Drosophila melanogaster: one gene and its partner. The protein of the gene in region 2 interacts with the protein of the main gene of each other region in a pairwise test. Each region holds a gene or a part of one and is shown on either strand. Other genes may lie near its edges. The genes, in order: hoka and ms(2)35Ci.

The links.
Region 1: the proteins of ms(2)35Ci (region 2) and hoka interact in a two-hybrid assay, tested with the Drosophila melanogaster proteins (one large-scale study listed by BioGRID).

Annotation. Positions count from the first base shown.
Region 1 is NT_037436.4:4,896,746-4,908,915, reverse strand, and holds hoka (hoka), read right to left. Parts: upstream 10,017-12,170; 5' UTR 9,920-10,016; coding exon 9,874-9,919; intron 8,640-9,873; coding exon 8,556-8,639; intron 8,502-8,555; coding exon 8,221-8,501; 3' UTR 8,047-8,220; downstream 1-8,046. Other genes in the region: CG13705 (uncharacterized protein), read right to left, coding at 10,631-11,926, 11,998-12,000.
Region 2 is NT_033779.5:15,287,874-15,299,776, reverse strand, and holds ms(2)35Ci (male sterile (2) 35Ci), read right to left. Parts: upstream 7,310-11,903; 5' UTR 7,099-7,309; intron 7,042-7,098; 5' UTR 7,041-7,041; coding exon 6,831-7,040; intron 6,769-6,830; coding exon 6,630-6,768; intron 6,569-6,629; coding exon 6,516-6,568; 3' UTR 5,641-6,515; downstream 1-5,640. Other genes in the region: CG15262 (uncharacterized protein), read right to left, coding at 514-1,830; CG15260 (uncharacterized protein), read left to right, coding at 7,604-8,296.

The DNA of each region.
Region 1 (12,170 bases), on a different chromosome or scaffold from region 2:
CGCTCAGATCTTGAAAATCCACACACACGCACACTTTGGCAAAGAAAGAAAGCAGAGTGAAAGCAAAGAAAGCAGGCAACCGAAAGAAAGGAAAAGCATCCACGGGCTCCGGGGGGTGGGTCGCACATCAGAGCGATTTCGTGCTGCCTACTTGTAAAGGGAAATTTGCATCCGCAATCACTTTAAATGTTTCCGTTTGAATACGCAAATAAATCGAAAAGGATTTCCAATGAATGCTTATGAGTGTCCTGGCAAACCCTTGTTAAGGTTGTTGTTTACAACAAGTGTACATGTCTAAATCCCAGAAAAGCGGAGCTCCAGAGCGGCAGAAAAAAATGCGATAACACTGCGAAGCGGCTGCCAAACTGTCAGGATTGCGTTCAAACTCCGGCCACAAGTGCTCCTCCAGCAGCGTCCAGTCTGGGTTATGTGAAAGTACGCATTTGGCCCAGAGTGCCAGCTGAGCCATAAATAAATATGAGCCACTGTTGTCAGACAACAACAGCCCAACAACGTTGACGATATGTTGATAAACTTTAACACCCCACAAACACTCGCATAAACCCGGTCAAGTGCCCAGAGTGGTGCAACTGCCTGGATTCCAGCTCGTCCAAGGACCTCGAGCTACTACTCCTGCTCCAGCTGACCCACAACAATTGTGCAGGAGTGCCGCTGCCTGGCCATATGCACTGTGTTTGCATTCCCATTCGGGACGAAAGTCCTTTCGGAACATGCCCACTATGTAGGACTATTTTGTGTGGCTTTCCTGCGAAAGCGCAAGTATCTAGTGAGGAATCCTTGCTGGCTGACAGCACTACAAAAAAATTAAAAAAAAAAAGTTTAAAATAATATTTCAAAACAAAAATATTAAATGAAAATTCGTGTTTTATTGTCATAAGAGTTTTCAAGCACATTGATATTTTGAATATTTAGTTATTTTCCCAGAAATGTGCATTGTATGAATGCGAACTAACTGCTTTGTCTTAAATAATTCAAAGATATTTTTTGAAGTGCAACATTTCAGAGTCGCCCGAGTTGCACAATTTTTGGCTGCCGCTGCACTTGTATCTGAAAGTGGGGATCGACTTGAAACGGGATGGGCTGGATGTGGTGTTGCAGGCTCCTCGGTTGCGGGTGGTTGCGCCTAAGCGATTTCGCTTTTTGTCTGTTTTGTGTCAATTTTGGAATCCGCTTTGGCTACCAACCCCTCGCCGCCGGCGCGTTGCCTCGGAAAAGCTCTCGGTTGCGCCAATTGTTGGCATTTACAGCTACTTGGCTGGTGGGCCCTTGACTTCGCCCGAGATACCCCGGGATCTGCTTTGTGAGGCAGCTTAGATGTGCAGCTCAAGTGGCGCACTGGGGATTTTTCAATTGCGTTTATAATAAATTTCGATTTGTCAGCGGCGAAACGAGGAAGCGGCATCAAGTGGCCGCCGCATCCCAAGTGCCGCCAAAATCAGTCGGCGATATAGAAGCAGATACAAGCTACAAAATACGAACTCAAAGCGAGCACAGCTCAATTCCCGAAACTGGAGCAGAATGCTTTCTTTGAGAGCGCGATAATCAAATGCAATCTTGTCACTCTAATAATCTAAACCCTTTGAATAGTTGTGATGCCTCACTGCTTTGACATCATTGTAATGGGGTTCGCAAATAAGAATCATATATACACTATTTAACTTCATTTATTTCTTCATATACAAAAATCACGTCTGATCGCTATGACCGCAAAATTACAATGGAGAAAGAAAGAATACAGTTCAGTTCAATTAGCATCGATATATAAAATGTTAATCCGCTGTTAAGACAGCTGAAGCACCGGGTGACTCCGCTCATAATCCGTACATGCCGCCCGCCAATGCGTCGTCCAGCATGAAGGCTCCTTGTGATTCTTGATCCGTGTGTTGATCATAATTATGTTGAAATCGGAAGTGGACAAAGCTTTGTGATTGACCTCTTTTGAATGCCAGATTTCGTCTTTAATGTAACTACTCTGACTAGCGAGTCCGATCCAGGGTGCAGTTCGACGACTCGGCCTATAGTCCATTTAGCTGGTGGTAGATTATCATCCTTTATAATGACTAAGTCGTTGATGCTAAGATTATCTTTGATTTGGCACCACTTTGGCCGAGTTTGCAAGTGTGATAACCAATCACGAGACCATTGAGACCAGAATTGTCGCGTCATGTGTTGTTGTGCGAGAAATAGTTCACGCAAAGGCTTATTATTCGGCCGACCTTGTGGCGGTGCCAGTAGTGCGTCACCAATTAAGAAATGTGCTGGAGTTAGTACTTCTAAATCGTCAGGGTCGGCGGTTAGCGGGCAAAGTGGACGTGAGTTCAAACATGCTTCAATCCTGATCAAAACTGTAGTAAGCTCCTCATACGTCTGCTTGTGGCTGCCGACGATCCGTTTAAGATGATGCTTCATTGCTTTCACGTTTGCCTCCCAGATGCCACCAAAATTGGGAGAATATGGAGGTGTGAAATGCCACCTTGTCCCATGTTGACATGTCGATTCGTTTAGGGCTGCCTTGCAAGTGATGGGCTGGTTAAGCGATGTACTCGCGCCAACAAAATTTGTGCCGTTATCACTATACATATGTTGAACTTGTCCTCGACGTCCGGTGAATCGCGTAAATGCTTGCAGGAAGTGCTCTGTTGAAAGTCCAGTGACGGCTTCCAAGTGGACCGCCTTGGTTGCTAAGCATATAAAAATGGCTACATAGCCTTTGTAGGTGGTTGATCCTCGTACACGCGCGGCTTGAAGTTCAATCGCACCAGTGTAGTCAACTCCTGTTGTAATGAACGGACGAGTTGGGGGGTTGACTCGATGTAATGGCAAGTCACCCATCAGTTGCTTCGCTACGACTGGAGCTACCTTAAAACATGTGACGCATTTCCGGATGATTCGCCTGACTGCTTGTCTGCCTCTGGGAATCCAGAATTTGTAGCGTATGTGAGCCAGTGTTAATTGAGCGCCGCCATGTAGAGTGAGCTGATGAGAGTGTTGAATTACCAAATCTGTAAATAGGTGACAATGAGGTAATATAATTGGATGTTTTCGAGAAAAAGAGAGATTTGAATGCTTGAGACGGCCACGAATCCTCAAGATATTGTTGTCAAGAAACGGTGTAAGATTTGAAAGTGTGCTACGGGGTGGTAACGGCTTGTTCCTTTTAAGCGCTTGGATGTCGGCGTGAAATGTATCGGATTGTGCAAGGCGAGCTATGCAGCATAGGGCCTCATCCAGCTCGTCAGGAGAGAGTGATCCGTGACTTCGTTGTGCTCGAGCATGAGCATTGTGGCAGAATCGTAACATGTATGCCGTGACACGTAGCAGTTTTGTATACGACGAGAATCGGTCAATAATAGAATCCTTTGTGTCTGACAAGGTAGTGAAGGCTCTAATTTTTATGGATTTGGCCTCCAGATCCCGTTCTTCTGGATTGAGCAATTGTGATTGCGTGTTTGGCCAAATATTGTGTGGTTTGCATAGCCAGGATGGGCCATGCCACCAAATATCAGGTATTTGGCTCGGTGGTAAGCCTCTGGTTGCGCAATCTGCTGGGTTTTCCGATGTGTCTATGTGGTGCCACTGAGCCGCTGAGGTGTGGTCGAGAATGTAAGACACTCGGTTGGCTACAAACGTTTTCCACCTAGTAATGTCTCCTTTAATCCAGTGCAGAACAATGGTAGCATCGGTCCAGTAAAAGGTAGATATATGTGCATTGGTCCATCGGTTATTCTCCAGCACCCATTTGGTGAGTTTGGTAGCTAATACTGCACCGCATAGCTCAGTGCGCGGTATTGTTAACGGCTTGGTTGGCGAAATTTTTGATTTTGCGACGATGAGCGTTGTATAGAAAGTCCCATCAGACTGTTGGGTGCGTGCATACACTGCTGCTGCGTAAGCACTGGAGGATCCATCGCAAAAGGTGTGCAGTTGTATCTCACTACTAAATAGTGGCGTAAATTTGACGCTGCGTGGTATTTTGATCGTCTTAACCTTCATTAGTTGCTGTCGAAATTGTTGCCATTTGACGGCAATGGTGTTGGGAACTGGCTCATCCCAATCCAGTGATGTACTCGATCCGTCCTCGCGATATTGCTTCGCTAGTGTGATTTCTTTCAATATAATCTTTGCTGAAATTACAACTGGAGCGATTAATCCAAGAGGATCAAATAAACGTGCTATGGTCGATAGGATTTCTCGTTTTGTTATACCGGCTGGAGTATTTGCTAGTAATTTATAAGTGAAGCAATCTTGCTTGGGCAACCAGTACATACCCAGTGTTTTGATGGTGTCCGCATTGTCCCAACTGAGGGATGTCTGCTTGCATCGATGCTCGAGAGGTATCGTTGCCATCAGATCCTGGTCATTACTAGCCCATTTTCGTAGCTCCATGCCAGAGGATTTTAAAGCTAGCATAGTTTGCAAACTTTTCCGTATTGCTGCCTCTTGTGAATGATCGCCTGAGAGAATGTCGTCGACATATATCTCATTTTTGAGAACGTTGGATGCCATAGGATATTTTGTCTGTGTGTCTTCAGCTATTTGATGGATGACTCTTATAGCTGTATAAGGTGCAGACGCTGTTCCAAACGTGACGGTAGTTAAGCAATGCTGTTTGATGACTCCATCCGCCGCCCGCCATAAAATCCTCTGGTACTGCGTGTCATCAGGGTGGACATTGATACAGCGATACATTCGTTGTATATCGGCAGTGAAAACAAACTGATATTGTCTCCAATTCAAGAGAACGGCTGGCAGATCATTTTGCAGCGTGGGACCTACACATAGTACATCGTTTAACGATCTGCCATTTGAGGTCCGGGCCGATGCGTCAAAAACGATACGTTGTTTTGTGGTGAGGCTTTCTTCTTTGAAAACTGCATGATGTGGTAGCACGCATGATGCAACATGCCGACCGTAGGAATCCGTGGTTATGGTTGAGTTTTCGCTCGTCTCTGCCAACGTGATTTGACCTAGTTGAAAATATTCTTCAATTCCTTTGCAGTATCTGATCCATTTGTCTGGGTCCCTTTGAAGGCGCCTTTCGAGTTGAAGATATCTGTTCAGGGCGATCTGATGAGATTTTCCGAGCGTCATACTGGGGTCAAAGTTCCTCTTGAATGGCAAACGGACTTGATAACTGCCGTCTGGTTGACGTTGATGGGTCTGCTTAAAGAAAGACTCGCACCATTGATCTTCTTTGGAGAGCTTTGGGCGTTCTGGAACTGATTCTACCTCGCAAAATACCTTAAGCAGCTCTTCGGAGTTTATTATGGCATGATTACATCGAATGTGGCGTGTAATATGCGTGTTGCCAACATTGCCTAACAGAACCCATCCGAGTTGAGTATTCTGCGCTATGGGTTCGTTTGGCAAGCCAATCTTAGTTCCAGGCAACAAGAGTTGTGCCATAAGGTCGGCTCCAAAAATGATATCGATTCGCTTGGATCTATAATAATAGGGGTCTGCGAGCGTGAGACCATGGATATGACTCCAGTTTCCTGCTGGAAAACTTTGACTTGGCATGTGTGATGTCAACGTGTTCAAAACATAAGCATCGTCGACCTTTAACGAGAAATTTGGGTTAGTTGCTGTTTGCACCGAACAACTTACGATGAATTTGCAGCGTCGTCCTGAATCTTGACCGACTCCGGTGATTGAAGTGCGAGTTGTGCTTCGGGAGAGCTGGAGAGACTGTACAGCATGCTCCGAAATGATAGTTGCTTCCGATCCTTGGTCAAGAAGCGCGTTTACCGTGGCCTGGCATCCTGTCTGTGTGTTACTGAGTACAACCCGAGCTGTTGCTAGTAGTACCTTTCGATGAGTCATAGATGAAGTTGTAGTTGACATGCACTGTAGAGTCGGCTTGGCATCTGAACTGGCTGCTGAACTTTGGCATGATGTCGAGGAGGGTATCAGCGTTGGCTGTGTTGCTGGAAAATGTAACATCGTGTGATGACGTTGACCACAATGAAGACAATTCTTGTTGCTGGGGCAGCTTGCTTGTGTGTGCGATTTTCCCAGGCAATTGAGACACAATTTTGCCTTGCTGGCCACTTCCTTCCGTTGGTAGCAATCCATTGAAAGAAATTGCGGACATCTTCGAAGTATGTGTAAGTTGCCACAATGATAGCAAGCGGACGCGGAAGCACCCGACCTGGTGTGGGCGCTGTGCACACGCACGCGTTTAGTACCGTCTGAAGTTTCATTTGACTGTTTCATGCCGCTGCACGCGTTACGGCTTTCAATAGCGTCTAACGTAACAAGTCGATCATTGAGGAACTGTTGCAGATCTTTGTATGAAGGAACGTCAATCTTGCTGCCCAGATGATGCTCCCAAGCTGTGTGAGTGTCTTTGGGTAGTTTGGTTGTTAGATAATGAGTCAACCAAAAATCTCCTCCCTGTAGTGGCGCCTTGACGGTATTGCAAGCGGCAATGCAGACGTTGACTGTACTAACCATAGACCGTATGTCAGCAGATTTTTCTTTCGAAAGATTCGGTAAGTTGTAGAGCATGTTCATGTGGCTGGCGAACACAATTCGTGGGTTGTTATATCGTTGTAGAAGTGTGGTCCAAGCGACTTCATAGTTTGCTTCAGTTAAAGCGATTTGGCGAATGTCGTTGTCCAGGCCTACTGGTAATGCTTCCTTTAAAAAATGGAACCTTTGAATCTTATCCAGACGCTCATTATTGTGAATTAAGCGTAAAAATGCATCATGAAAACTTGGCCAGTCCGCGCAGTTGCCAGAGAATTTCGGAACTGGTAATTTTGGCAGTGGTATCCGTACTTCCTCTACATGTGTTGTTATTGTAGAGTTAGCTGATTCGTTGTGCGTCACTGTGCCTGGATAAATTCGTTTCTTTTCTTCGGCCACGAAACAGTAAACTTCCATGCCCAGGTCTTCGAATTGGCTGATTGTATTTTGTTGCTTATACACACTTTCTTCGTAGTCTGCCATGCATATAAGTGTGTGATGCGCCTGATGAAATTCTTTGTTAAACTCGTCGATTTGATTCAAACGTTTTTCGAAATATATTTCCGTTTTCCGCGCACTCGAGTCTTTTTTCACATTACTGAACAAGCGCTTCAAAGACTCAATGCGGTCAGTTTGAACTCGCACCAGTTGATCAAATTTCGACATTGTTTATACTGACGTTGCTCCACTGTATGTAATATGCACAAATGCTCGTATGTTATCGGTGTTCTTCTTTGACGTCTTGTTTTTTGAGTTGGCAGAGATTCCGGCAAATCTAACGGAATCGAAGGGCAACGGGACTTAGCTCTGTCGTGATGAGAGCGAGCGCGAACGTTTGCGTATACTGCTCTGTCGTGATGAGAGCGAGCGCGATAGAAAACGTAGGCACGGTGATTTATCTGGATGAAGCCGACCACGAAGATAAAATTGCCAAACAGCTTTTAGCAATTATTAATTATGATTCTTATGAGCAAGGTTCCCCTCATGGGCCACCAATGAATAGTTGTGATGCCTCACTGCTTTGACATCATTGTAATGGGGTTCGCAAATAAGAATCATATATACACTATTTAACTTCATTTATTTCTTCATATACAAAAATCACGTCTGATCGCTATGACCGCAAAATTACAATGGAGAAAGAAAGAATACAGTTCAGTTCAATTAGCATCGATATATAAAATGTTAATCCGCTGTTAAGACAGCTGAAGCACCGGGTGACTCCGCTCATAATCCGTACACCCTTTGATATTTTATATTGGGTGTAGCTTGAAAATAGCTAGTATTTCCGCAGCCCCAAAAGTAGGCATTAATTTGCTTACAAATCTATTCATCTAATTAATCTTCATCCCCAGCATGGGCTATGAAAAATCCAAAACTCAAAACCAGTTTGATTTAATTAGATATAAATTAGCGTTGCGTGTGGTGCAGACAATGAGTAGACAAACTGGATCGGTCTTGGGCGGATATTGGGCCGCTTAGCCGGTGCAATAAAATGTTAAAAGCCAGCGTGTATCGTCTTAAAAACCGTTTAACCGTACAAATGTGAAGCTAGTTTGGCGCCAGATAAGTGGCAAATAATTTTATTCGAAAATGAAGGTAGACAAAGGGCACAGGTTCTATTTGTGTGTCGATTAAATGACAATAAAGCTAGTTAATGGTGGAATTTGAACTGATTTGGAAAGGGTTATGAACCAAAAGTGGTCACTTGGATCTGTACACATCTCCTCAGACAATAGCGGTGGCATGCGTTGGAGTGGGAGTCACATTGGCCGTCTCATGAGTCTGGGCAGGAGTATAGGTTGTGGCCGTGGCCGGATCGTGAGTCTGGGCGGGAGTATAAGGTGTGGCCGTCGCATGAGTCTGGGCGGGCGTGTAGGAGGCCGCCGTCTGATCTGGTTCCTTGTCCAGGATCACCTTCTTGAGGATGAAGTAGAGGGCTCCACCAATCAGCAGCTCACCTACCGCTACACAAACGATGAGAGCCCATCCGGGAATAGCAAGGCCAGCTGCAAGAAATAACAATGTTGAGCAATATCGATCACGTATACGGCATCACTTACTGAAGTATCTGCGGGTAAGGGTGCGTCGTCCGCGGTTCACACGTCGCGTGGCCTCCGATTCTTGCAGGCAGCAGGCCAACAGTACTACAGAATAGAAAAGAATATACAAATTTAATATTTGTTAGACATAGTGATTCGTCCGAGGCGCAAAACACACATCATACACATTTTTTCAATGATCACGCGGCGTGTGGTCGAAGGTGGCCTGGTAAGATTGCGGCATTGGCTTTGAAGCATCCATCAAACCCAAGCCAAACGGAACTCATTGAAATAACAGCAAGACCATTCATCATATAGATCTTCAAATGCGCGAAGACTTGTTAAGATATTAACAATTAATCGTTGAGAAAATGTTTAACAACAGAGCCGGGCCAAAATCAACAAAAAACGCTGATTCTGATTGAGCCAAAATAGCGCGCGCGCGCCAACTTCTTCGATGATAAATGTGAGCTGGCATATTCCTTCCCCATTGTTCCATTGCGGATGTCAGATTCGATTTCACGTAAAATTATCAAAATGTATTTTTAATTAATAATATTTTATGTGTGTGTTCGTTCAGCTCATTCGGCATATTTTGCGTATGAAATATTAAATGGATTTGTTTGTCGATATGGAAAGTGTATAGATTTTTCCTCGATTCGATTAGTCGGTGATTCATGGAGACAGGCATTTGACAAAACCCATCCGCCAAATGTATGTGGCTAAGAGTGCGACCGATTTTCGTTGGCCAACCGCTAACCAATATTAATTGTTTTCATTCACTTTTTTGTCTAACATATTTCATAATTTATATGCGCAATAATTATGCCACTTCCGGTTTTAGGGCATTGGACTTTTGGCCTAATAAAAATTGCATGAAATCAAAGGAAATGATTTCGCATTTACTCACTGCCAGCTAAATTATATGTTTTATTTGGGATACCTTTCAATCCAAAAAGATTTCCCTCTGAACTCACTGATTCACCACGCCCTAAAGTTAAGCACACCAAGTGATGGGGCAACAATGAGTAAACACAGTGCTTATCTGAATCGCACTGATAAGCACACATTTTTGTAGAGTTTTCTTGTGCCTGATTGTGTGACGCACACTTGGCCCAGTTACTCATCGTTAGAGTCTCCAATTGCTGAAGTTGGGTTATTAAAACCCCACACCTATGGAATCATACGGATGCATCAGTGCATCATAATGCGTTAAAGTCTCACACATGCACAATACTCCGCCCACACACATGCACCAAAAAGTATCTCGCCGGTGTGCTGCGTATCTCTAGTTGGCACTCAAAACTCGGCAGATTCGAACGAGCATGCAGAACTTTACCCAGGCATATCACCAAGTAGGTGGAGCACTTCTTAGCCAACTTCATTTCCGTCGTTTTCGTCGGTTCTTTCGAAAAACTTATGTTCGCTTTTAGCTGTTAGCCAAGTTTGTAACGCGCACGTCGTCGACTCCAAAGTGGAACTAAAAACCTGTGCGTGATTGCATTCGTCGGCAGGTGCTAGTATCTTATCTCAAAGCACCTTATCTTTCATTGATAAGATTAGAAGGCTCTCTTTTCTCCCGCTATATATTACTTCTGAGGTCATCAGCACTGAAAAAAATAGTTTCATTTATGTTCAATCTAAAATGTCTCCTATATTTCTAAGCCTAACATGTTCAATATGCAAAATTCGTTGAGTTCAAGTCCTTACACAATATTTTATATCTGTACTATCGAAGGACAATAAGAGTCTTCTTTATTTATTGCCCATTTTAAAAAATATTTTTATAAAATCTTTTCACCAACTCCTTCGACTTTATAAGCTTTATCCCAATCCTAGGCATATTGTTTAAAAGATAGTTCGAATATTTAAAAATATTCTGCAAAAAGATATAGTAGTTGTAGGATATTTGTTTTAAAAATGTTTATTATTGTAAGTTCGGGTTTGTACTCGGGTTGTTCATAGTGGATTCAAATTGACTAATACGCTCGACTTATTGTTAGTTTCAATCTGAGACTGTCAAAGTCAGGACTTCTTCTGGAAAAACATCCTCGAAAATCTCAAATGCTGCGGTGGGAGTTGGCGCAATCGGCGGCTTAGTGGCGACGGAGCTTCAGACGACGGACGGTCTTGTAGCGGTAGCCATCGCTGGCCAGGACGGTCTGCTCGGCGGGCACATCAATGATGGCAGAGGCGGTCTCCTCCACGGGGGGCAGGTACTCGCCGGAAGGCAGCTCAGAGACATCACGGCGGCGACGGATCACACGACGCACGGTCTTGTAGCGGTATCCATCATCAGCCAGGGGAGTCTCCACAGCAACAGCCTCGGAGGCGGACTCCTCAACAGGGGGCAGGTATTCAGGGGACAGCTCGGAGACATCACGACGACGACGGATCACACGACGCACGGTCTTGTAGCGGTATCCATCATCAGCCAGAGGAGTCTCGACGGCAACGGCTTCGGAGGCGGATTCCTCAACAGGGGGCAGGTATTCGGCGGACAGCTCGTTTACATCACGACGGCGACGGATCACACGACGGACAGTCTTGTAGCGGTATCCATCAGCAGCCAGAGGGGTCTCAACAGCAACAGCCTCGGAGGCAGACTCCTCAACGGGGGGCAGGTACTCGCCGGAAGGAAGCTCATTGACATCACGACGACGACGGATCACACGGCGGACGGTCTTGTAACGGTAACCATCATCAGCAAGAGGGGTGTCCACAGCAACAGCCTCAGAGGCGGACTCCTCAACAGGGGGCAGGTATTCAGGGGACAGCTCGGAAACATCACGACGACGACGGATCACACGGCGGACAGTCTTGTAGCGGTAGCCATCATCAGCCAGGGGAGTCTCGACGGCAACAGCCTCGGAGGCGGACTCCTCAACAGGGGGCAGGTACTCAGGGGAGAGTTCGGAGACATCACGACGACGACGGATCACACGGCGGACAGTCTTGTAGCGGTAGCCATCATCAGCCAGGGGAGTCTCGACAGCAACAGCCTCGGAGGCGGACTCCTCAACAGGGGGCAGGTACTCAGGGGAGAGTTCGGAGACATCACGACGACGACGGATCACACGGCGGACGGTCTTGTAACGGTAGCCATCATCAGCCAGAGGAGTCTCGACGGCAACGGCTTCGGAGGCGGATTCCTCAACAGGGGGCAGGTATTCACCGGAGGGGAGCTCGTTCACATCACGACGGTGGCGCAACTTCAGGCGGCGCACGGTCTTGTAGCGGTATCCATCGTCGGAGAGAACTCCCTGCTCGGCGGGCACCTCCACGAGTTCGGAGGCAGATTCCAGGTTGTTGTCCACTGGCGGCAGGTAATCCGTGGCAATGGAGGCCGCCGAGGCAGCTGCGATCACAGCAAAGGCAATGACAAAGAATTTCTGCAAGGCAATAAGCGAAGGAGAGGGTTATGGGTTAGTCCTGGTCGCAGGATGACTGCTGGAGAACTAACCATTTTTCCAGAAGATCCAAGACGATGTCTGCTAGATTAATCCAAAGTTGATTCTGTTTTCAAACCAGACCCAACGACACTATTTATACACAAACTGCGCGAAAAGTTCTCGGCTGACCGATGTCCATTCACTTTGCGAGATCAGATGAACTGAGATGAGCTATGATGATCGC
Region 2 (11,903 bases):
GTGTCTGGGCGGAAAGCTGCGACTCCAAATGTGCAACTGTCCGTCTGCTCCATTTTGCTAATGAGCGCTGCGATTTTCCTCGTATCTTTGGGGCTTGGCTATGAAGGTGGTGGTGGTGCTGGGTACTCAGTGGTCTTGTGTGGATTGTGGATTTGCGATGGCATTTGGAGGGTGTGGTTGCTTGGATTTTTTTCGGCGGTGGGTCCGTGGTTGCAAGGTGACTAAAACATGGGTTGGTCATCCGCTGGTTAACTTTTAATACAATAATAAATAAATAGTGAATAAATATGAACACTACAAATTCGCAAAAAACACCAATTGATAGAACTAAGAAAACAGGCAACTATATATACTAAATATAAATAAATACATTCCCCACACTGAATTTATTAATAAAACGCTTATGAATATTTATAAAAAATTTAATTTGTTTTTATAAAAAAGATGCTACAGCGTCAGAGAGAATTTTTAAACCCGTATATCCCTGGCTATTGATGACAAAAGAACTTTCTTCTAAATACCCGACATCTGGGGATGGTATCCGTACGTCACATACAGCTCTTCCTTGGATAGAGTGCGCTCCAGGATCTCGGGATCCAGGTAAAAGTGTCGTGGCAGGATCTTCCACTGCCACATGTTGAAGTAATTGTACTCTCCGAACTCCCGGAATCCGTGATATAAGTAGTTGGGATTGTCCGCCTGGCGAATGACCCAGAAATGTTCATACTTGTGATAGCGCCATCCACGTTCCGCCAGTTCAGCAGCCGCGAGCATCTGCATCATGTCGCCAGCATATGTGTAGAAGAAGAAAAATAGGAGCTCATCATGCATTTCCTCGATTTTGGGCTCCTGTAGGCTCATATTTACATTGAAGAGATAGTTCAATGGCAATTTGTAGCTCATCTCCTGAGGAGTCAAACGGGCTTCTTGAATTGGCCCGGTAAAGATCGAGTCCGCGGCTCCGCCTATATTGTGGGCAACATTATTTCCGAATAGAAGCGGGTTCTGATTAATCGATCGCAGTTTCTTGGCCAGTCCCAACATCCCAAAGGCTCCCTGAATGGTGGAACCCGAAGGTTTCGCCTCCACATTCGAAGTCGTTTCATTAGTGGGTGAGCCCAGCTCAAATGTGACTCCACCCAGTGGCATACCATCACTGTTGGTTATCAAGCGGGCAAAAATTTTGCAATTCTCGAATCCGGGTGGTGGTTGGATTGCTGGTTTTGCCAGGGCAGCCCTCTTGTGGGCCGCATTTATAGCCCTCTGCCTGACGCCTTCGAGCAGGAATTGCTTGGTAAATATCATGCTCAAATTTAAACGGAACGGATTGCCGAGATAACCGTACATATGGGGCAGCAACTCCATATTCTGGCGCTTCTCGGGAGCATGGGTTGGCTGACGGAGCACCTCGTTGCCGTTAGCGTTAACGCACGGATCACTGGAATTACGGATAACTGTATTTCGAAATTTGGCGAGTTCGACCTGCTCGCTGTTGCTCATCATGGCTGTCCAGTCGTCGGGCACCACAGGGCTCGATGTCGTTGGTAATGCGGTTGGTAATGCAGATGGTAATGATCCTGGCAGAGCCGGAAAATCTTCGCGAAAGATGCTGAACTCCGGCGCAAGTGGTTGGGACGGTGATGCGGACGGCGGCAACTCCTGTTTGGGCTTATTCTTTACCACATCCACGTACAAAATGGGATATCCATCCGGGGTCTGCAAAGACTCGGGCGATGATAATGGCGATTGGAAAGGCGGAGGAGGCGGCGGACTTGGAGAGCTCTCCACCTCCTGCTGGTCATCCCCAGTATTGTAATAATGACGTTTCATATCTTACTCTGGATTTCTATAAGACTCAGAGCTTATCTCGTAATTTATAAGCGTTGCGAGGAAAAAACACGTGTGGCAGAGATCGCTTTGGTTTGCAATACTATAGCTTGCCAAAATGACATTTGAGAGAGTCCTGATTAACACTGATTTCCGATAAAATATTCGATATAAAGCTTGTAGTCGAATGTGTTTGTGATACATATTCATACGCGAAAATTACTAAAAGTTAATGTGTCAGATTTTTAATAGCAACTCGTTAAGCAGGGAAAAATATAGATTATATAGATAGATTATATAGATTATACATATATACTTAAGTCGTTTTTCAGCTAAAAAACAAAAATCATAACAAACCTGAAACATTGAGTTTACTAATAAATTAACTTCTCGCATTGTGTGGGTGCCACGGAAATTGCCACAAAGCAATTTAAAAGGTATGGTCATAAATTCAAAAAAAATTCACCTGCGCAGCAGCCAAAGGAAAAAGAATAAAATTGTGCATAAAAATAAGAATGAGACGCACAAAAAACGTTCGCCTATAAAATATTAAATAAAAAACTGGCGGGGAGTATAACCCATTAACTTAAACTGACACCATACTAACATAAATCTCGTTCCTTGGCCAAGCAAAAGTCCCTGGGAATTGACAAAAGGAAAAAAACGAAAAAAAAAAGGAAAGGGGAGGGAAAATATCTTGGCTAATAGTCCAAGTGCTCCTGCCCACAAAATGTTGAGGAGCACATGGTCATTTGCCTGCCGCGAATCAACGAACTTGTCCAGCGGCCTCAAGAGTCACAACACTCTTGGGATCAGGTGCACGGCTCCCACTGCTCCTTACCTGTGCTCCCCAAATTAAGCACAAATAATATAAAATACAATAACGTAGAATCCCAGCCGCTGGCAAAGAAAAATGATACACATAATCGCCGCACGGCCAAGTGCAGAATTTTCAGATCAAAAAAGCAAAATACGTTTAAGTTTTAGAACCGTACTTTGTAATACCCTTGCAATATCATGTGAGCTTATAGTCCTTATTTTATATAAATAGATCGTGTGATTTGCTGCTTCATGCTGCATATTCCTTAGGTCATCATGTATAAGTTACCACTTAATATGCTAAGCACAACCAAAAATACAGTACTCCTGGCACAGAACACTTTCCAAATACCCATGTACAGAGTATATAGCAATGCATCCAGATCCCAGGAACGCGACTAACGAAGCCAGCGAAGCCATCACGAACTGCGGGCAGAAGCTGCTCCGGCCACATAAAGTACAATAAATCATACTCATGTTGCCGGGGACAGCGACAAAAGCCGCCTGCTCCGCTCCACGATTCGCAGTCATACTGGCCACGATCACCTGGCACTTGGCCTGGTCCACAGATGGGTCAGGCCAATTGCGAAGCCATTAAATCGCCATGGCCAGGGCCACAGTCGAGGCAAGTGGAGTCTCTAGGCCACGGAGGTGTCAACTGGAGGCGATCCTAAATTGGATTTTGGCTTTCATTTGATTGCAAAATACTCATTTTTGTATTTCAGAATAGGTTTCTCCCGCACCTGACGTATCACGTGACCATTCCGCAAGCTAAGTTTCCTAGATTACCCAGACATTTACTCATTTCGAGGTGATAGCACACTGAAAACTAAAACATTATTCAAAAATACTTACTGCATATATAGAGAGTATTTTTTGGGTGCTTGAACTTGAATTACAAATGAACTTGTAAGCTTACATATGTAAAGCGTATAAAACCCAGACCCATAACCCCCACTTTTTATTCGCAGAGTGTGGAAAACGCAGTGGGGATCAGGACCTGTTGGCCGCCATCAAGGCGTGCATTATGGAAATTAGCATCGGCTTAAGAGACGCCCCATTCGTCGGCACAAATGACCCAACTCCAAGCCGCATCGGGTGCGTGCCGCCATCTCGGCTAATGACCAGCGGGAGCAGCAGCACTTGTAGTTGCATCTAAGACATCAGTAAGCACCGAAAGAAGCTCTGGAAGCAATCGTCCCACAGCCCGGCGAGTTTTACGAGCTCATTGGAAGTGCTGCTCCGGCACGGGAAGAGCCGAAACATGTGTATGTATGTACATATTCCTCTCACCTCAGTGGGCTTAGTGGCAGGCGGGCCATTAGCCAAAGCGTACAGCATAATGGCCATATGTTTATGGCGTTCTTGCCAGTCTTTAAAAATTATTCATAATAGGCGTACATCACTCTTGCGACTTAGTCCGTCTCTGTGGGCGTTCATTTTGTCAAGTTTTTTTTTTTTTGTATTTAGTGCTGTAAATGTGTGTATGGACTAAACTTTCAAAGTTGCAGTGCCCTTATATTAATTTGTATAGATATTTTAATAAAGAATTCCTGTAAAGGATAAAACTTTCCTGTCTTCAAGGCCCAGAAAAAACATTACAAACCACCGGACATTTATGAAGAATTCAACCGAAAGTATAAAAATTAATAACCCTGAAAATATTTAAATTTAAATACCATTCACCATTTACTTTAGTAATTAGACTGGCCTGTGCATAAATCCTGAGCTCCATTTACGACCTAGCCGCGGGCAAACAAATTATGAGCCATCATAAACATTGGCATTGCTTCGCCAACAATTGGCATTCGCAATCAGAGCAGCCACAGGAGCAACTGCAGCACGCACTGCCGGCAAGTGAGTGGCAGGCGGCAGTAGCAACGACAGGTTGACTCCAGGTGGAAAAGCTGGACTCTTAGTTTGGCCCAACGTAGGTGGCACACACTTCGGACTGGTGAGGTGGACTTGGAATGCCTGGCGGAGATCGCGGGACACTCACTAACTGGCCAAGTGTCAAACTTGCCAAATTGAAAACGAAGTTACGATGCAATCGCCGATTTGTTTATGCTGCCGTTTTGAACCGAACGCAATTATATTTATTTTCTTTATTTTTTTTTTTTCGTTACTTTTGCATATTTCCCTTGGTGTAGTTTTTAAATTTAATGAAATATTACGCGCACGTGTCAGCGATGCGATAAAATTTATTTACGCAGCATTGCGGGTCAAGTGAAAGCACATTTTTCTGCAGGCCTTCCTTCGGACCTTCAAATTGAATTTACGCTGGGATTTCGGGCGAGTTGCGAATTAAAAATCGAAACCGAAATCGAAATGTAAACCTGACTTAAAAATGGGCGTAGGGCAGTCGCATTGACACGCGGCCATATTTTAAATGTCAACAGGCTGGGGAAGATCGGATCGGATGGGATGGGATGGGATCCCGATTCCGATACAGATACAGATACCCCAAGGATGGGGGCAATCCGCCTTGTCCCTGCCCATTCGCATCAGAAATTCAATAAAATACCATTAAATTACAAAATGAAGACAATTCATTTTTCTTGTTTTCCTTATTTTCGATTCGCCTCAATGCGATTGCATTTTGTTTCTTAAAGTAGGAGCATTTACTGTCGCTTTGCGGTTATAAGCAATAAAGTATTAAAATCCTTTTGGCTTATAAATGTTGAAAGCGACATTTATCGTAATATTTTATGAAATCAGTGAATTTTCGGTGAACGTTGCAAGTTGAATTGCAACTTAGTTGCCGCTGCAAAATTGACTCGCTGGGTATTCCGGGTTCTATTGTGCGGCCATAAAACTGGAATGATGGATGTTAGTTGGCCTGATGTTGAATCCACAATTGAGGCTTAATTTATCTTGATGTACTTGCTGCTCTCAGTGGGTTGACAAGGTCAAAGATTATGGTTCCGATTCGCTGGTGATGTATGATCATTGTTTATGTTGAAAATGACCCGAATGGTATTGTATAGAGACATTGTTTTTTAAGATTTTATTTCGAAGAGTAATTCTACTGACTTATTTTTTAAGCGCTTTAAACAACAACTTAAAAAGTTGCTTACATTTTACAGGGCATCCCGAAGTAATTGCACCGAATCCAACCAACAAGGATCATAATTCCGGCCATAATCGAATACCAGCTGAGGAAAAATGGAAAGGTACGGTTCGGGCCAAGAGTAATGGCCAAGGGTTGGCCAGGGCAACGCCCATCACATACTACCGAATCGAATCCGGGGCGATTTTTCTTATTGCCTTCAACTTTGCACTGCCAAAAATACACATAAACATACCATGGCCCAGAAATAAACAAAAAAAAAAAAAGCAAGACAGAAAACGAAAATACTGCGAGCAAGGCGCACTTTCAATTAATCAAGGAAATTAATTAAGCCCCATGGATGGATGGTGGTGCAAACTGCGGTTCACTGACCAGCCAGCGAGCAGCACGCCTGCCCCATTGCAACATAATTTTCATTTGGCTCAGCATGCGTTTTCATCGTCGCGGTTATCATTTGGACATTTGGACTGGGACTGGGACTGGGACTGGGACGTGGACTTGGACTGGGGATTCGGAGTCGGAGTCGGATTCGTATTCGGATTTCGGATTGGAGCAGCGTTGAGCTGCAGCCTGGTCAATTAGCACGCATGTAGCTCGGCGGGCGCTGGCGGGGCGATAATTAAACGCAGGTCGCTGAGGTTCGGTTGCCAATCCGCTGGTGACAATTGGCCACGATTTATGCACGGCGCGGATTGCGCAACATTTTCCAAATAAATTTTCGCGCCTAATCGCGCACCACAAAATGCTACATGCTGCGCCCGGTCGGTTGCCTGGGTTAATGGGTAATCGGAGTGGTTCACTAAACCTCCGATTGGTAGTAGCTCAGCACGATCACGACGTCCGCAGATACAACTGTGGGCGATTTTTTTTTTTTTTTTGAAGTAGATGTGATCAAGAGGGGGCCATCACTTACAGGCAATCATAATGAACGCATAGGATATCAAAACGTAATCGGTTCTGCCAAGGGAGGCAATCACCATGTGATTGGTCATTTCGAGCATCAGGCCACAAAGAGAAGTCACCAGATGAACTGGCAGCAAATGCGGATTTTCCTGAAACAAAGGATGCTCAGATACCTAGTGATGCTAAATGTATCATGGCAGATTGATCTTACCCGAAAAAGTGCAGTCAAAAGAACCAATGCGGAAATGATATTCCAAATGGTGGAAATTATCCAGAGGAGTAGTATATCAGCGCAATATTGCGACTTAGTATATATAGTCGCTACTGTATCTAATACATCCATTGTAAGACCTGCGTACGCAATTGAAAATGCGCCAATTCTTAGACTAAAACAATAGCAGAACTTCTTGATTATTGGCATTCTGAGTTCAGAAGGAATTTCTTAGCGAGTGGATATAATTTCTATTTATTTCACATACGTGACAATTCTAACGTCCTTTTGATGAAGTCTCTTCCGAGCTCCATTTCTGTTGCCAGGTATCCGAGGACCCTACAACATTTGACAATTTTTCGAAGGAACTCCTTTGAAATTATGCGGATTGCCGGACTTTCCTTAGTGTCTTGTGTGCATTCAAATTTTGTTTATCTGAGAAAATATTTGACAACATTATAAAAGGTGCTTATTCCAACTAATAGGCAGTAGAACAATCAATTTAAAGTAACAAGCTACAAAACTTAAAAAAATTTTGACCTTCGGAGGGAATCTTGGTATTACAATAAACCTAGTCGTGTTTTATATACTTCTGCAAATTTACAATTACCAAAAAACTATGCATACAATTCTCTGAACTAATATATATAACACTGCACAGTGTCCATTTCCCTTTCAATCAAAAATCAAAGGTTTTTTTGCCATATCATGTGTATTCAGATATAATTCAACTAGTTTGTTTCCAAATTAAAAGTAAAGTAAAATCCTCCGGAATGAAGCGAATTGTGCCACTTTCAGCAGACTTATTAAGTGACATAATGACCCACCGGAATGAGTATCACACACCACCTGGGCATTATATAGAGGCAGAACAAGTGGGTGATAACAGAGGACTATATGCGGCAACCAGTTCCCCCCAATTCTTGCCATCGGATGCGAGGCAACGCACTGATGGATTTGCCGATGGACCCATTGTGGCGACCACTCCCGTTTCAGAACTGACACCCAGTGAGGTACTGACCAGACTTGAGGCACGCCTGGATTTCTTGGCGGCGGAAGTGCAAGAACTGCGCAAGTTGATACCTAAACCAATCAATCAGAATGAGGAGCCCTGCACGAGCGGGTCATATGGCTTAAAGCGCTCTCAATCCGATCTATCGTTGATCCTTAAGTCGAGCTCGGACCTGAGACTCATCAATTCCTCCAACGATCTGCATCTGCGAGGGGAGCAGTCGCTGGACAAACGCAATCGCAAGGGGCAGTTGTACCGCGACATGCAGATGCATCTGACCAATATGATAGTCGTGCCCAAGTCACGCACCTCACTGTTTCTCAACCAGCGAAAGGAATTGAACTCCCAATTGTGCCATTGGCGGCATCAATATTCGGATGAGGATTGGATGCAGAATTTCCAGAGCAGCTCCACGGAGGCCGAGCGGCGCTTCAAGAATGTGCGTCGTCAGTGAAAGTAAAAGATTTCTTTGCTTGCCTCCTAAATAAAATTGAGAAATTGTGCCTGTCATGTGTTGGTGGTTATGGGGGTATCGGCGTTCGGAATTTTTCGGGAAAAGCTTTTAGCTGGGACATCTATCTGCGGTTAGGGCTAAAACAAAAGCCATGTTTTGCTACGGCACAGTTTTTTCATACCAATGTTAGCTTTCTTCTATGGCATCTCCCTCGAAGGTTTAAGATCCCATTTCACTAAGTTCGCTCAAGAAAATAAATATTAGAATAAGTTATTGTTAAATGCGTATCTTTAGTATTTTTCCCTTTCATAATTTGCCATCATCATTTTCACCAAAATCGCTGATTTTTTCCATAGTGTTGCTGCAACTTTTACCCATTTGACAGCAATTTCCCTGACATTGCATGTCGATCAGGCGAAAATCCTGCATTCGCATTCTCCCGCTGCCAACATTTGCCAATTTGGGCTGGAAAGTAATGATTTTTATTACTGCAGCGGCAGCATTGAAAACTTCCCCATCTGGAGTCACTTCGTCATGTTCGTGGTGCAGCGATAACCGCGGGCTCTTTGCATTTTGGCCAAATATTAGCACACAATTCGATTTTGCATGCCAGCCTCCTCCTCCTTCTTCCTCCAGGTGGTGGATGAGGCGGTGGAGCAGGAGCAGGAGCAGGGTCTTCGGGGAGACCAGTCAATTTCCACGAGTGCAAGTGGCGAGTTTTCCATGACACACCATGATCTCTCCACTGTCCGCCGGCAGCTGTGCGCTTTTCGCTTTCACCTGTTGGCCTGAGTTATGTAAAAATCCACTGTCAAATTAATGGTGATTTATATATGCGGTTTAATGGGCACTTGGCATGGGATGCGGGTACTCCGTTTACGGGGATCATGAGCGTAGTGTGAATGTGCTGAACAGATTGGCCTTAAACTGTTGCTGTGGCTGAATTATTTTGAATAAGCCGCGAAAGGAGACCAAAATGATCAGTACATCATTTTAAAAGTGGAGTAGAAAGGTTACAATGTGTTACCATAGTTTAGTTTTCCAGCTAAAAAGACATCCATGGCTGACCAAGAATATAATATTAATGAATAGTGTTTAAAAACTACATGTTACATTGGTAAACCTTGTAAATTGCTTACACATATTCAGCTTAATTTAGAAAAACTTTAATTTTCAATAATTTCCTGCAATGCAAGGTCGGGATCGACCTGAACAACAAACCGACAAGTGGTGCCGCTTAATCCGTCGTTTAGTTGGACATCCGCGGAATGTTAAACCCATGCACTTAGCGATAATCCAAGTCAAACAAAATGCCTACAAGTGGTTGGGGCTCGGACTGCCGCCGGAGCATGTCGGGGGCAATTACTTGGACCCGGACTGTCCAGGAGTGACTGATGATGGGATCCAGACACCGTCGCAGGCGTCGCGACAAAATGCCACCGCACTCAAGCTCAAACTCAAATCCAAGACACTTCTCGCGAGTGGTGACAATAAAAGTGCAATGCAATTTGCGAATGCGTCTCTAATTGAGCCCACTGGGGAGACAATTGGTGGATAAATTATACACAGGGCGAAAAATATTGGTAAAGGGCGATCACAAACAAAATGCGTTAAAAAAAAAAGAATCTTATGGATACTTTTTGGGTGACTTAGCTAATCAGAAATAAGAGGTGATAAGCAAGAAAATCTTATTGTTGTGAACTGATAGAGCATTTTTTTTTTTGAAGTTAATTACAAAAGTTTATAATATTTTACCTATGTAGTCCCAAATTTAGTACGCCAGCTGCATTTGTCGATGTAAATTAGCAGAAACGTTTTTAGAAAGGAGCTCGCGATGTCAAGTCTTTGATTTAGCCAGACCCACGAAGGCTCTACAGTTTTTCTCGCCTGCCAGGTGACAATCAGCTGTTATATTTTTACTCGAAATTATTTCTTTAATTTTGCGCACACATGAGCGGAAAAGCATGAAGGAAAATAGAAGGGGCAGGAGAAGTTGGACCTAGTGCGATTGGAATTTCATTTAGAAAGTTGCACACTGGGAAGTCGATGTGTTGTGGTGGGCTTTAATTTGCATTTGCCAACTCTGAGCGACATTTGGCCAGGGGGGGAAGGCAGGAGGTACTGCAACCGAAGCCCAGACAGGCGACATTCTTCTCCATTCACTTTTCTTGGCCCAAACAAAAAGCCGTTTAGCCGCAATTGGGTCATTTAATAATACTCGTAATCGTAAAGAGGGGACTCCCCCGCAACGCTCACGATTTCCTATTCTAATTCTGTCAATCATCTTGCTGCAACTGCTGTTCCTCCCCCACCTCCCCCGACGTAGTTGATCTTGTGCTCTATTTGATCTTGATTTTGATCTTTAACTTGTCTTGACGCATATTTGATTTGGCCACACCCACCCGCCGCGTCTGCCCCTTATTTTCTACGCCTTTTCTTTCCAGCGAAATGCTTTCTACTCCGCACTGATTGTCTTTGTCTCGACTGAAACGCTTGGCTTTAATGGTTTTTGATTGATTATCGCGTGCCATGGGTGCTCCGATCTCTGTGGGTGCTCCACGGTCCCTCTCCAACCCCATCTCCATCTCTAAAGATTCAGCTCCAGGTGGTGTCGCTTGGCCCACGATCGAATCTCTTCTTTGTTGGCTTTCATTTGAAATCTGCTTAATTAGCCCAATATGTGTGTCTGTCTGCCTTGTTGACTCCCTGCACGTGCTGTGATCTCCTCCTGCTCCACCTCCATCCATACTTCAAGTATGTATACACATACAATGTGATGTCAGTTCCTGGTACAAAAAACCACTTGGGCAGCCATGAGTGGGCACATCGAATCAATTGTTAAAGTTCAAAGTTGAAACTTGTTGTACAAGGTGGAGCAGATGGGGTAAGCTACGTGACGCATGATTCATTTAAGGTTGAGGGAAAATTGCTTTCGAGGAAGCTATTCTTCTGATAAAAGATATTCTTAGCAATACTGGAAAAATTCAAAATCTAATTGGCTTAATTTAACAAACTCAATATAATAGTGCTAAGCTAAGTTTGTTTAAACTAAAGTAAAACAAACTAAGACCAAAGGTTAAAGACAGACGACACTGGTAAACTTATGTGCACTTCACTTGAATCGCTAATCCGACTTAATTTTCCATTTAGACCGTAGATAATCTATCTGCAATATTACTCAACTGCCTGCCAAACTTTCCACTCATTATGAATACAAGTTGACAATTTTGAACCGCAGTTCCTCGATGGCTGCATCCCAATCGCGGCCATCAAGTGACACTGACTTTCCCGAGCAGCCGCCATCTCATCACAATAATGTCCTAGTCGGTGAAATCAAATCTCGCTGAAGGTGCTGTCAAAATGTTATTCAACCATAGGGTTTGAGACGAAGGGGATATATATTTTGTCGGGGTTATCCAACCACCAGCTACATATGTCAACACCATGAACTTGAAACCCACTGAAGACCCACTGGGCATGAAGCTAAGGAGCAAGAGCTCAAGCCAAAGTTGCAGTTGCCTCTAAAAGCATTTTGTATTCTAATTAGATTGTCAGTGGCACGACAACAACCTCATTTTGGCTCACAAAATGCCTTTTCACATTTGCA